Stegostoma tigrinum: one gene and its partner. The protein of the gene in region 2 interacts with the protein of the main gene of each other region in a pairwise test. Links are inferred from orthologs where the notes say so. Each region holds a gene or a part of one and is shown on either strand. Other genes may lie near its edges.

Region 1 (7,565 bases), on a different chromosome or scaffold from region 2:
CCTCCAATCCTATGAGCTTCAATTTTACACATTGATTTCTTACATGGGATTGCACTAATACCTAAAAAAGAATCATTTGTTGGAATATATGGAAATGTGGTAGAGCAAGGATGGCTTCCACAAAGAGTCTGAATAGGTATGATGGTTCAAAAGACACCTTCTCTGCGTAAGATTCTTTTTGGCCAGGATGGATTAATTTCACTGCAGAAGTGTGGGAACTTTTTAAGTATACAATTATGATATTTATAGGAATAATTAAAGGTTTCACAGAATAACAGCATGCCTGATGTAATTGAGTTAATTCTGAAATTTTTACGCATTTTTCTGTGAATGTCCATTTCTTCTTAGTAGTGTGTCAGATCCATTGTTAGCAGATATTTCAATACTCCTGAATTAATTTCTAATGTTCAGGGGAATCCCAGACATTTGCAAGGGCCAGTTAAACATACAGAATGGAGAATGGTTCGCAACTCTCTGAATATTATCACAACAATGATTGTTAGGTGGCTGTTTAATTATTGAGTTTTGAGATCTCTCAGTAAACAGTTAAAGTTGCAACGTGAGAAATATCTTAATTACAGTATTAATCATGCTTTCGAGAAATGTCAAGAAAAACTGTTTTTGAAAACATTTTAAAATGCATTTGACTTCTTGTACCAATAAATAGTAACTTTGGGTTGCAGAAATTTGAGGAAAATAAATAGTCCTTCTTAATTTGACAGGGGAAATTATTCACCTACTCTTGATAATTACCTGCCATTGTGAACTATTAAAACTTGATTTGAAAAATGGCAGTACTTGTTTCTTAGTTATGTTTAAAGGTTTTAAAGGTCATTATCCCATGTCTGCTGTAGCACAATGCCTTATTAATATACCTTTCTAACTCCAGTTTACAACTGCAGTGTCTTCAGCACCATTATTGGATAAGACTTATAACACTTGCTAATGATTGCTGCAAACATTCATTATTAATAGACAAAAACAACTCTTTAGAAACAAACTCTGGCATTTCTAACCTTGCCTCAGCCTAGAGATGTTTTAAAAATCTCTTGAAAAAGTTGTTTGGTATTAATTATGATGATTAGTATCTGATTTTATGTCCAAAGAAAACACACCTGATATATGCAAATGACTAGTACTGGTGTACACAAGATCAGCGATTAGGATTCAATGTATGCTTTGTCCAGAGGGATTTGATTGCAAAATTCTCTGCTGAAAAACGAATGAAAATGATTCGAGTTGGAGATCATATCTGCCGTCCACAGCGTTTACAGAAAGAACCAGGGTTTCGTTTTCGTAATCTCTAATGTTTAACCTGAAAAGGGATTATTTATTTGGATTTTAAACACAGCTCAGTCATGATTATTTCAAAAACCAACCAGATAGGCCATCACAAACCTACAGCGTTCCTGATCCGAAATTTAATTAACTAGTGGCGGTAACAACAAAAATAATTCGAGGTAAATCTCGGAATTAATGTTCAGACTATGTTTGATGGCAGACTGATGCATTTACTGCAAAAGTCTGCAAACCTCCGTTCAACCCTGTGCCATGTTTTGAGAGACCATGCTGAAAAGACACAACGGTCTCATCAGTAATTCCTTGTTGGAGCGTTTAGTGACAAACAGAAGTTAGTTCACTCATTAATTTTCAATTTCTGTTGGCTAGCAGTGATGTTGGATGTCTTTTTTTTAAATCAGTTCGGATTCCAGGGTGGGAGCCCAACGTGAGTTCATAGAATTGCCAGACCCACGCATCCTTCCAACGTATTGAGTTTCCTCACTAGCCAGATAACATTCAGACTTTGCACGGCAGTCCGGATGAACCAGTACTGTGAAGTCAGATCACACTGGCCACTGTACAAGTGTTCGCGTTGTACAATGAGAACCCCACTTTAGATCCATATGTTGATTACATGTTATAAGCGCAGTAGTTTGCTGGCTCCAAACACGGATTTAAACAGAAACGCACGTAACTTACAAAAAATACTTTAATAATCATGTAAATTCGGTAAAAAAAATCGCTGTGCAATTGGAACATGGGTGGCCAACCATGCACTCTGCGCCAAGCGGCTGGTCGGGTTTGCGCTTCAAAAGAAAAATGTAGGAGATTTTCCCCATATGGGAGTCTTGAAGAAATTTGCTTTGATCTCACTTGGAAGGCGGTTAGAACAGCAAAACTCAATGTCTTCTTCAGCTGTCTTTCTACTGAGTCCAAGTCAAGTACTAAACGGATTGAATGCAGGCCTGAATGTTAATTCGGGAGACATGGCTAAAGGCCGCGAACACAAGTATTCAAGCGTTCTGACAGATGTAATGCAAATCTGGCTGCAGCCCCCATGAAAGTTAGATCGCGCAATGTGCAGTAACTTGTGTTTTAATTTCAGACCGATCGAGCATGTCCAAATTGTTCAAATAGGATGCGGACGAAAATCGCGAGGCAAAGACATTCAAATAATCTTTGAGACACTTAGTTTTACAGGGAGCATGTCGAGTTATTTTATAGTGCAAACGGTTAAACACGTCCAACAACGGTTGTGGATTCAGCCTCCTAAGACTAACGAAAAGAGCAATAGTGTTTGCACAACCATTAAACTCTTGTCAGTAATTTGCTTTATGTACGGCGTCTCAATACATAACCTTGTCTAAAGTAACATATCGATTTTGTGGAGAAAACGAATAGAAGTCTTTCTGATTTTGGTGTTCAAATGTTGAATGTGTTGGTAAGGTTTGATCTTGCCGTCTAAACTACCACTGTAAGACTGTGTTTGTAGGGAGGCTTTCGATGAGAATTTCAGCACCTCAATTCTCCACTCAGCAAAGAGTAAGTCAACTTCCTCAACAACCTACTGGTCTGGATGTTGCGCGTTCACCCTCACTGTTCTAAGGCTTTTGCTTGGTCTTGCTTCGTGTTTTGATAACGGCCATCGAAAAACATACCAAGTTGCTGCTGTAAAGTTGCGCTTCCTTAAAACCACCGTTACTTGTCCCAAAGGAGTTCCAAGTGTTGCTAGAGTATTCAGTGTAACCTTATTACACAAAAAGGCTAGCCACTTTAAAGCAGGTTAAGGAGCATTTGAACAAACAGTTCTCAATGTGTTTAAATACTTGCCAGCATGTTGTATTTTGACGCGGTTTTGCTGTTTTTCAAATAATGAACTGGTGCGTGCTAACAGTTCGTCATGTGTTTAAACTAAGGTAAGTGAGAATGAAAATAAACCAACTCAGTAAATTTGACAGAAAATTCAACAAATGAAACAATATTGCACCCAAATGGCGCTCCATTGACTTTTCGGTTTCGCTAACCACGAATTCCCGTCGTTGCGAATTTGACGACCACTTAAGAGCTTCGTTGACCCGTTGACACTTCGGGAGTGTTTGGTCAGGACGGAGTGTGAATTTGCCTGACACTTTGGTGAGGGAAAACCTTGCGCCTTAAAGGAAGCTGGGATAGGTGCAGCTGGCCCGCATCTGTAACGGTGTGAATTTGCTTCAGCCGTGAAATTAGCATACCCTGGGGAGCAGTAAAACTGCTGCATTACAATCTGCAGCCTGAGAAGCAGCGTGCCTGAAGGTGGGGCAGGTTTGGTCTAACTCGCACTCTTCAGGAGTGCTACACTATTGCTGAAAACACATGTGGGCTTAAAGAGAAAGCCGCAACCTCATGGCGTGTTTTGTTGCGGAGGCGCACAGAAAAAGTTAGCTATTCCAACCATTTGAAATCAGTGTTCCCGGATTTCTATGAATAAAACCCCAAAGCGATCAGCAATTACATGAGTTGATGTAATTTCACATGTTGACATTTTAAGCGACTCCTGCCGGGAGGTTATGCTGACAAGCTTTTAGCTGCACGTCGCTCGCCTCCCGGCCAAAGTTGAAACGCTGCTGGTCGGAGAAACAGAATTACAACTAGGAAATCTACCCAACGGTGGTAAAGTGACCCAGCCTCTGTGTCAATCCTGCTGATTGTGAATTCTGAAATCTAGCATCGTATGCAACAAACTAGCTTTTCTTAAACAGAAATCGGTCAATGGGCACGAACGGGAATAAAACCTCAGTGGATGCATTAAGTAAATTATAGAGTCGAGCAGCCGATACACCCGGCAACGGGTTACTGACCATTATAATGTCTCCGTGCCTTCGAACAAACAGATTTTATGGATTCTTTATGTTATTTGCATCTTATTAGGTTTTCAGCATAAATCTGTTAAAACGGAGAGCGATAATTAATTTTCTGATTTGTTTAACCCTGGTCCAGGAGTGATTGTCTTGCCTGATGGCTCAATGTCGGTTTCATTTTGCGCAAAGTCCTTTTTGTCTTGTGGGAGGAGACCTTCCAGGCCCAACAAGGGTTAAAGAGATGCCCCATGGGACGGATCTAGGGTTAATGACCGGGTGGGGGGGTGGGGGGATACTGGATGTCAGTTGTGTTACAGACCCCAGAGTGTGTATATATAGAGCTCTTCTATATACGTTCGGGGCTCTTGTCTCTGACCCTGACCGAGATTTGTCTTTAAAACTCCATCGACTAGTTTGATTATATCGAGAGCTTGGGCGAGTTCTGCGCTTCAGCCAAACCAGTTGGATTCGCCATTATGGATATTATGGTCGACTGCCACTTCTCTCCCTCCGACCTGTTTTATGATCATTCTTGCCTCTCGTCGCCCGAGGAGGCAGAGTTTGCGGATGAGTTTGAGCACGGCGCACTTGCGTTTCGAGATAATAAACTGGAGTCCGGCGAACCTGAAGAAGAGAAACATGTCAGGGCCCCGAGCAGCCACCACCAGGCTGGGGGCCACTGTCTCCTCTGGGCTTGCAAAGCCTGCAAACGTAAAAGCTCCAGCACTGACAGGAGAAAGGCGGCCACCATGAGGGAAAGGAGGAGGCTTAAGAAAGTGAACCAGGCTTTCGAGACGCTGAAGAGGTGCACCAGCTCCAATCCGAACCAGAGGCTGCCTAAAGTGGAGATCTTGAGGAACGCGATCAGTTACATCGAGAGTCTTCAGGAGCTCCTGAGGGAACAAGTGGCGAATTATTACAGCCTCCCAGACAATGTCAACTCAGAGCCTGGAAGTCCCACGTCCAACTGCTCGGACGAAATGGTAAGCAACGATTTAATAATTCCCATCCCCCTTCTCTAATGTACACAGAATTAATGCGCATATCTATTTTTGCAGAATTAAAAGAAAATGCGCTACAGGATTGTTGTCCGTATTTAAGAGGAACGAAGTGAAACCTCTGGTTCAGAATCATTCCGTTTGATTCATCTGTTTGTCTCGGAACCCTCCGTCATTTCTATGATCGACATACTCGCTTGGCCTGGCAGATAACGTGCGGCGTGTCTGTTTTTGACATTAGCTCAGTGTGTTTCTTTGTATTACTAATGCGAGTCGAGAACATCTTGCCCGTAAAGTTTTCTTCTTTGCATCCTGAAGTAAAATCTGGTCTGTACGAGTGCCTAAACTATCGATTACAAGTCTGTTCGTTAAATTGGCCGTGTCATTTCATCAGGACTTGGTGGCTGGGCCTCCCCCCCCCCCCCACTTCTGATAAAGAATGATGAACTTTGCCTGAGCGTGTATAAGGAAACGTTTCACCATTTCATTCTTTTGTCCGACATCTGCCTTCATGTGTTCGTGTAAGATCTGGAATGATACCAGGCTTCACAAATTGGCGTTTAAAATGGGCTGCAATGAATAACAAACGGAACTCGTTGTTACATTAAGGTCAAAGAGGTTGATTTTACCAAATGGCCTTTCAATCTTAAATAATCGTGAACCAACTAATGGAGCAATTATCAAAATACTTTATAAAAGAACAGATACGGTCCCTTTAAAAGCAAATTGTCCCTCAATACGGTCCAAGAGATGGTCCAAGCTCAATGTAAGTAATTAACAATAAGACTGTTTATTCAGGTGCAAGCAGCATTTCAATTCGCATATCAGTAAATTGATTTTCGGTTACTTTTCCCAAGTAACATCAAAATAGCTGCACTGTGCACTGCCCCGACCAGACCGGTCTTTATCCATGTTTTAACTCTGTTGAGTGTTTGGGTGCTCACAAGGCGGCATGAGAGAAACCGCGAAGGATGAGGCCAGCAATGAGGATGGCCAAAAAGTTGCATTCGCAGTTGTCGGACATCTTTCTGTGATTCATTTCGTATATTAATGGGGGGGGGGGGGGGGGGGAGAGGAGCTAAACAACTTCATTAGTACTTGCTGGAAATTAGATGAAATGTTCTCTGTAGCTCAGGGTTTGACTTAGATGGCGCCTGGGTCTCATTATGTGTGACCGACTGCTTCTTCTCGCCACTTCAGTCAAAGTTGCTGCCACACACATTGATCTCTTTGGAAGCGGGGATGATGACTTTCCCACCTCTGCACATTCTGCTCTCCACAGGAGCTGAAAGCAGCAGCAAACTGAAGCCTGTGTTATTTGAAACAACAACTAGTGAAACATTCTTACAGCACTACGTTTTTGACTATCAGAGCCAAAGCTTTAATATGAAGTCAGTACGGGAAAATCTGACCTGGCACAATTAATGTAGCTTCCGTTAACTGCAGAGACATGCAATTCATTTTCCATGGATAACACAATGCACATTGCTATACAGGCATACAGACAGACCTCATGCTTTATGTGAGAAAACCATGGTGTGGCAAAGAAACCAACTATGTCTAATCAACAGATGGGTTTATTTCCGTCCGGGGTAATCATTGTTTTACTCATTCAAGCCTTCTGACGCGCACAGTATAAAGTCATTTGTTACGATGAATTTATATAAAGGTTTCAGTGAAAGGTTTGGAGGATTTTTACTTTGATTTCATTTGTCTTTGCAGATGGGATGCAACAGCCCCGTCTGGTCTAGGAGGAACATCAGTTTTGACCGCATTTATTGTTCGGAATTACAGAACGGTACATTTTAACGATTTTTGTGAAATCATTTTACAGTTCATCACAAGTCTACCTTGAAACTGACGAAATTAGATATTAACTCCTGAGGCGCAGTTTATGATGACAAGTACACGAGGCTCTCCAGTTAAAGAAGCTATTAATTGTAGATTGTTTCTTAACCCACGGTCGAAGTGACAGCTTCTAGTTTGAACCTTTCCCATTGTAAAGCAATAACTGTTTTAAATCTATACTCATTACTTGAGGTCCTTCGCACAGTAGACCCAAACAAAATACAGCCAGTAGTACAGTTTATTTCCACGAAAAGTTTGAGAGAATACTGAACGCGGCAGAGTGAAACAGCGGGTATTCCTGAATGGGTCTGGGAATCTGTTTTATTTTCACGTGATTATTTTTAAAATGAGAGCACTTGGCTCACAGTAGCCTTTTTTTAAATAATGCAATGGTTACTGTCGTAAAGACCAGCGACATTTTAAGTTTAACAAATGTGTATGAGGGAACAAATAAGGGCACATTGCTTTAAGATAACGACTAAGAATGAAGAGAGTTCTACATATGTATAAAGTATGTTTTTATGTTGTTTACATATTTGTTGAGGTCTGCGCACTTATCGCCACACGGCCATTTCTTTTATATATATATAGTTTGTTCCAG
Region 2 (7,224 bases):
AGGGATCAGCGTTAATCAATTACACGGAACATTTAACTGCTTTCCCGGAGTAATCTTGTGCAAATTAATTATGTACGGTGCCTGGCAGATTGGCTTGTGGTAACACCCCCTTTCTCACATCTGCTTCAAAGCGCTTTCAGCTATTCTAAGTGAATGTTTCCGGTCTCTCCCTCACCGGGTTATTACAGCCAGGGAGCAAAGCTGCAATCGTCATACCCATTACTCACCGTGTTTTTTTTGAGTAGCCGTCACTAGCAGAGCTTGTCATTTTGCTACGCTCATCCAAAACATGCTTCTGAAATCACTCAGCATGGTTAAAGTCTACCCCCCCCCCATTTCATTAAAATGATTTATTTCGGTCAAGGGCTAATAAATCAGAATATGGGCCGCTATTAACGGCATCGCCGCTCTACATCCCTCATTATTTGACGAAATCTGGAACATTAATTGCTTTACACCGACCCTGGGTGTAGTGAGAGTCGCTACATTAAAACTCTTTGGGCGCTGTGCACCTCTTTCGAGCCCTTGTAATGTCAGAAAGTACACACACAAAAAAACAAGGTTTAATTATTTGACTAGTTTTTATTTTAATCAATTCGTCAAAAAAATCAATAAAAAAATCATCTTTAGTACAACATTGTTGTAAACAATTCAATACACACTTACAAAGTATAAAACTTACAACTGAATCACCCCCATAGATCTCTAAGGATGCAATATACAATCTCAATTCTAGAGTCCAGCGTGTCTCGTTAATGGCCTGTGGAGTAGTGGCATTTCGCGCGCACACAACACATTTTGAGAAGAGATGGCGCGGCTATACGCAGTTAAATCTGTTGCTAGGCACGTCGCTAGGAAGAGTTACTAAACTTTGCTGTGCTTCCGCCTAGTTCCCGCGTCCACCTGGGTTCAGATGGAAGACTAAAATAAAAGGGCCGAGAGTCCTGGAGCCTGGCGATCAACTCAAGATCTGCTCTCGCTTGGTGCCGTGATCAAAGACATTAGTCCCAATAACATGATAATAAAATGAGGCTGGATGAACACAGCAGGCCAAGCAGCATCTCAGGAGCACTGACTATTTTAATTTCTTCCAGCTCTCCTCTTTTCCCTCTCCCAGGGACTGCGGGATGGATGTACTGTTAATCCAGCACCACCGGATCATGTTATATTTTAGCATCTGGAATACCTGAAATAGAGACGGGGAAAACAGAAAAAATTAAAATGCTTTCCATTCGCAAGATTAAAGACAGAACAATATGAAACACGCCATTGCACTGGAACAGCTCGGTAAGCACTGAGATGCCACGACTTTAGCCAACACTGTCAGAGAACTTGGGTTCAGATTTCAGCCTTTCGATTGTTCAAGCAAAGCCCAAGAAACCTGACCCTCACACGAGGGACAAGTCGAGTTCCGCTTGGGAAGTGGTTACAAATCTTGTACATACCTGCAAGTAAAGTGAATCCATTCAGCGACACAGAATTCTGTCATCACTGCTCACACAGGGAGCCTAAAGATTGGAGGAAAAAAAAATGGGGATCGTTAAGTCAACTTGCCAATCACAATACTGCGAGAACTATTCTCTTTTTCAACTTATTTGATGAGTGTACAGGGAAATAAGTTTCCCAGAAATTACTTCACGTTATTAACACTATTAATAAAACAGATGTCCAATCCCAGGTAGGCGTGTACGCTCAAAGTAAGTTAAAATCTATTCCAAAATAATAAGGCTAAAGTGCACATTTGATAATATTTAAAACACTAAAGGTTTCTAAAAGTAAGTAATAATATTACCATAACTATTTTCTTAGATTACTTTTAAGCATTAACTAAGTGCCTTAACTTTTTGAATGCATTATTTAATACATGGACTTATTAGCAGTATTCACCTCCGCTGACAATCCTGTAACATCTGCACTGAGAGGTGTCCGAGACTGGCCTGCGGTTCCAGCGGCTGCCTGACAACCCATTCCCGACTGATCGTCCAACTCGAGCTGCAAGTCCCAGATATAATCGATGACATGCTGCAGGATCTCCACTTTGCTGACTTTTTTGTTCTGGGGGAGCGTGGGGACCAGTTCCTTCAGCTTGGTGTAGCAGCCGTTCATGTCGTACAGGAACATGCTCATCTGCTCGTCCAGGAGCGGGGACACTTTGTACTTAGCGATCGCGATGCTTTGCTCCGACAGGCAGCGCACCACTTCCTGGGTGCAGCCCTGGCGCTTGAGCGAGCAGGCGGCACTGACCACTTTCATTATCCGTTTGTTGAGGAGAAACACCACCAAAAACCTGATGAAGTAGAGAAATCGCTGTGACAACTCTGGAGCTATCGGTCAGCTTTTATGCTCCACTGAAAAAAATGGGCGTCTCTCAAATCCTGAAATCCAGGCCCATGTCTCCCAGCAAATGACAACTAATTTCAGCAACAAAATGAGGCGTGGTTTACAGTCCCGTGTGCCAATGGAGAACCCTGGTTTGCATCAAGCTTTTGAAATCTGTCAAGAGTTGGCCGAGTGGGGGCATTTTGGGGGGGGGGGACCTCAATGGGAGAAAAAAGTACATATTTTGCTGAAGATGTGGGAATCCAGCTGGCTTGTATCTAGTGGGGTCGGCAGGTGGGGGTCGCCCCAGGGCGTGGGTGGGGACATAATTCATGAGAATGTAAACTCATCAGATGCTCACTGAAGGTTCTGAATGATTTCTCGTTTTTTTTTCCCTGCACGCATTACCAGGGAATAACTAGCCAAAAATAACTAGTTGAAATCTCAACTGGGACTAAACATTTTTCCTCTTCACAAATTAAAATGCAAAATTGAAGTTGCATCATGTTGCCATCCCAAGTGCGCAACACAACAGTATTTGCATTGCAATACAGATTGATCTGCAGAGATTTAGAAAGTATTGAAATGTAACGGAATGTTGCAAAACAGAATATAGAGGAATTTGGTGAAGCTAGTGCTTGACGATCTTTGGACTGTAAGGAGACGTTACATTAAGTTAAAAACCCTTTCATTCCTGTTAAAATGTTTAAAATGTTTGCTTTAAGATTTATATTCAAGAAAAGTAAACTCCACGAGGAATTTAACCAAATAGACGTGGGGAAAGTGGATTTATCGTTTTACGTAAATTGTGTTATATTACTGTGAATAACTTCCAGGATCGATATAAATTCAAAACGAATCTAACAGCAAAAATCACACAGTAAACTTCTTGTTGTTAAAACTGTCAACTTATTCAGTTAAAACTTTTTAAAAACTAAACGTTTTTGTCTTGTCCTTACAAAACAAGATGTCAGAGCTAAGGCTTAACAAAGTTTTAAAAGGGGACAGTTATAGTTAAGAGGAAAAATATTATTTAAACAGTGAAATAACTTTTTGAAACACTTTTATTTTTCCTATCAGTAATAAGTAAGCTTGAGGGGAAATGAAACATTTTTTCCACAGATTCAGTGCTTTTCTAAATAACCTTTTTTAGAGGGGAGTGTAGTTAAAGTTTAGACGAAAAATGAATGATTAAACAGCACAATGTTATCCGTGGAAGATTAATCACTTGAGAGGCATTTTTGTTTTGCAATTTGTAAGAAGGAAAATGAAGGTATTTTCCAGATATTTGGTGTAATTCTAAATGGGAATTTAGAGAGGGAGCAATAACAAAGTTCAGAGGAGGGCAGTTAAACTTGAGAGATAAAAACAATGATTAAACTGTCAAAAAGTTGACACTAACCACTATTGAAGTGCTTCTATCTGACTTTTTGTAACAAGTTTCTTTAAAAAGAGAATGAAGGGATTTTCCACAGAAAAGGGGAAAACTGAGAGCAGTGACAAGTTTAGAGAAAAGAAATGGGGCCGGCAATAAAAAATATAGAGGGGAATAAGTAGATGATCAATGTGAAAGAGATTTCCCTGAAAGATCTAATTGCTATTGCTGCAATTTTGTTCTTGTTTGCAACTTGTAACAAGTATTTTTAAATAAGGGGGAGGGAAAATGGAAGGATTTTTAAATTTCTAAGGGGCAAACTGGGAGCCAATAACAAATCTACAGTAAAGGGGACATAATTAAGGAATTTTCCAGATTATGTGCATTTAAAAACGGGTGGAATAATAAATTTAAAGAGGGAAAGTGAGATGGGGGTGTAGAACAGAGGAATCTTCCAGTGATTATGTGCATTTCAACAAGGGAATTTAGGGGTAAATACAAATTCAGAGAAACGGGGGGGAAGGAGAATGAATGAATTTTCCAAAGATTACAGTATATGCATTTTAAAAGCAGGAATTGGGAGAGGGAGAAAATAAAATTAGATGAGGGGATGCATGGAAACATTTAGAACAGAGAAAATAAACTGTGAAATGAAACTGTGAAAAGGCTTATCCTGGGATTACCGCGGAGGCTTGTCATTTTTTGATGCAAACTGGTAAGAAGCAAGCGTTTTTAAATCTGTGCAGATTTGGGGAGGAAGAAGGAATTTTTCCAACAGATACTGTGCACTTTTTGTCGAGGGAGGTGAAGATGCATTTTTTTTTCCTTTTCTTGCACTCCCAGGGACTGGTGTATGTGTCCCTCCCTCCTCCCCCCAAAAGCAGCCTCCAGACTGGCAGGCGCCAGGGCCGTGACGTCACCCATTCATACAGCCTTGACGCCTGTCAAGCTGGCGCCGTGCAGGCGGTCGCCATGGCGACCCACACGCCAATCACCCGCACTACAAGGGCGCCGAACAGCCTGCAATTAACTGGCAATCATCTGCACCCTGATAAATCGCCCTTTAATTTGTCACCTTAACCCCTCTTAAAAAGTTTACACCCGCACACCTGCAAAGCCGTATTGTTGCTTGTGTTTTTTTTGGGGGGGGAGGGAGTTCGCATGGTTGGAATGCTTGCAGTTGCTAAACGCTTGGAGCTAGACTCGGAGGAGGTGGAGAGAGGGAAAGGGTTTCGGGAATATACACACAGAGAGAGAGAGAGATTCTCCATTGAAAGCAATATCTGCATTGCAATACATAAACCAGCTGCAAAAGCTCTAGCACTGCAGGACAGCAGTTAACACATTATAAAGAGATTACCTATAGATATATTCCTCTTGTAGTCCGGCTACACGTTTTAAAACATGCATTCTGTGTTTAAATAGTTGGCTATTGCTGCAACATATATTTTGTACATGTTCCCATACGGACACAATTTGACAACACATTTTAAGGGGGAGGACCGGGTATTTTAGATCACATCTGCTTGTGTTGCCTAGCCCTGGGAAGATGGAATGGATATATTACAGAATAGCCCTGATTCATTTTTTATGGTTGGGAGTGTGGGTCTGACTGTACCTAATGCCTGATTATTACTGACTTTGTGTTTTATGAATTAGGTTTGTGGGTAAGTGTTTCTAAACTGGCCCTTTTTTGTACTAAATGGAGAAATCACATTGTCCAAATTTGCTTGTAACACAGAGATAAAAATAGCATATGATCTAAACCTTTCTTCTAAAATGTACTTTTGAAGTCAGACTATGTCCCCATGTGTAACAATTTCACTGCATCCAAAACAGAAGGTTAGAAGCATATTTAGGTTTAAAATATACAAGTGGAATGAAGTTGCCACGCTGATGAGAAGTTTAGATTAAATGTATTTTTGTATGGAATTACTGTCCCCGTTTATTATGCTAAATTTCTGCAACTGTATTTCCAAATTCTTGTGCATTTACTCGCAATTCTCCTTGAGATCTACTCGTAAAAACACAAAAATTGTCATATGTATAAATAATACAATATATATTAAAATTGCCACTAAAGTGATAAAACTGGTGTTAAATAGGACTGTTAACAGAATTTGACTTGGTTAATGATAAAATGTGTTAATTCGTGCAACGTTGAAGTTTTCTTCCAGTTTTTTCTCCCTTCCAGCTTTGAAAACTGAAATCTTAACTTTCACGTCCGATTGCATTTTGCTGTTCCTGTTTCAGGTCATGGCTCACAGGCTGTGCCCGAGACTGCAGGGCAGTTAGAACAATAGGGGAAAGAAGTGAGTTTGTGGGAGAGATTCAGCCTGGCGACACTCTGTCTGAGTCTCCTCTTTGCACTCCTCAGCGCTCTTTGTTCAGCTGCAAAAACTATCAACGTTTCCTACTGCCCTTCAACAATGACCCAGCCAGATGGGTCTCCCTATATCCCCAACCCCCAACTAATCTTGTTTACAGCATATCAGACAAAATATATTTTTTAAAAAATGAAACACTGTAGTCTCACAGAGGCAAGGAGAAAGTTCTGCATACAGCACATAACTAATTGCAAAGGCTACTTGCTTGAAGTTGGAGTTATTCTTGAAATGAATAGTGTACTGTTACTTACAAAGAGAGGGATATAAAAACTTTCTTTTGTAAAAAAAACTACACGATTCTCCTTTCTCCTAAAATACATTGTGCACCTTTCCAGTTTTAGAAGGACATATTGCAGACAAGCCTCAAGGTCTCTGGCAGAGCTCCAGCAGAACTAGTTGCTAAGGGCGTCTTGGTTGATGCTACTGTGCTCTGCTGAGTTTGCAATTTGGGCACTGAACTGGCATCAATGGCTGAAAGTCAACTGACTGGTGGTGGAAGGTAGATATAAGCCAACACACTCATGATTAGCTCTCTCCAATCTCATCCCCTAACCCTGTCGCCCTCCCATCGCTGAATCCCATCACTCTTGGCCGGGCAATGGCTATCTTTCACAGCAAGGTTGTTGTGATGGTATAATTCTCATGATTCTATTTCAATGATGTTAAATTAAATCACTGTAAATATCAAATTAAAGCTGAAAAGAAGTGCGGATGCTGGAAATCAGAAACAAGAACAGAAATTGTTGGAGAAGCGCAACAGGTCTGGAAACATCTGTGGAAAGAAATCAGAGTTAATGCTTCGGCTCCAGTTCCATTTTGAGGAAGCACCAGTGGGACCCAAAATATTAATTCTGATTTCTCTCCACAGATGCTGCAGATTTGCTGAGCTTTCCCAACAACTTCTGTTCTTGTTGTCGATAAATATCACCAGTTGTAAGGCAGGCCAGTTCAGTGGGAGATTGGGGAGAGTACTTGGGCCAAATTAATAGAAATGCTGTCATTGTGGTAATTAATTTGACTTCTAACCCAGCGGTAAAATTCATCACCCACAGTGAAACGTATTCATCATTTTGACATCATATCAGATACAAAAGAGTAACAGCTCTCAGTCATGGATATCATTAGCCAAAGCTTGAGAGTAAA

What was found.
Region 1: the proteins of id1 (region 2) and myf5 interact in binary tests that used the Homo sapiens proteins (3 or more experiments, as listed by UniProt). The link is inferred for Stegostoma tigrinum from reciprocal best matches to the Homo sapiens genes ID1 and MYF5.

The regions. Positions count from the first base shown.
Region 1 is NC_081371.1:40,044,098-40,051,662, forward strand, and holds the start of myf5 (myogenic factor 5), read left to right. Parts: upstream 1-4,457; 5' UTR 4,458-4,594; coding exon 4,595-5,101; intron 5,102-5,176; coding exon of another isoform or gene 5,177-5,182; exon of another isoform or gene 5,183-5,854; intron 5,855-6,838; coding exon 6,839-6,914; intron 6,915-7,555; coding exon 7,556-7,565.
Region 2 is NC_081372.1:11,871,372-11,878,595, forward strand, and holds id1 (DNA-binding protein inhibitor ID-1), read right to left. Parts: upstream 2,330-7,224; 5' UTR 2,254-2,329; coding exon 1,888-2,253; intron 1,509-1,887; coding exon 1,467-1,508; 3' UTR 1,446-1,466; intron 1,187-1,445; 3' UTR 563-1,186; downstream 1-562. UniProt on the Homo sapiens protein: Transcriptional regulator (lacking a basic DNA binding domain) which negatively regulates the basic helix-loop-helix (bHLH) transcription factors by forming heterodimers and inhibiting their DNA binding and transcriptional activity.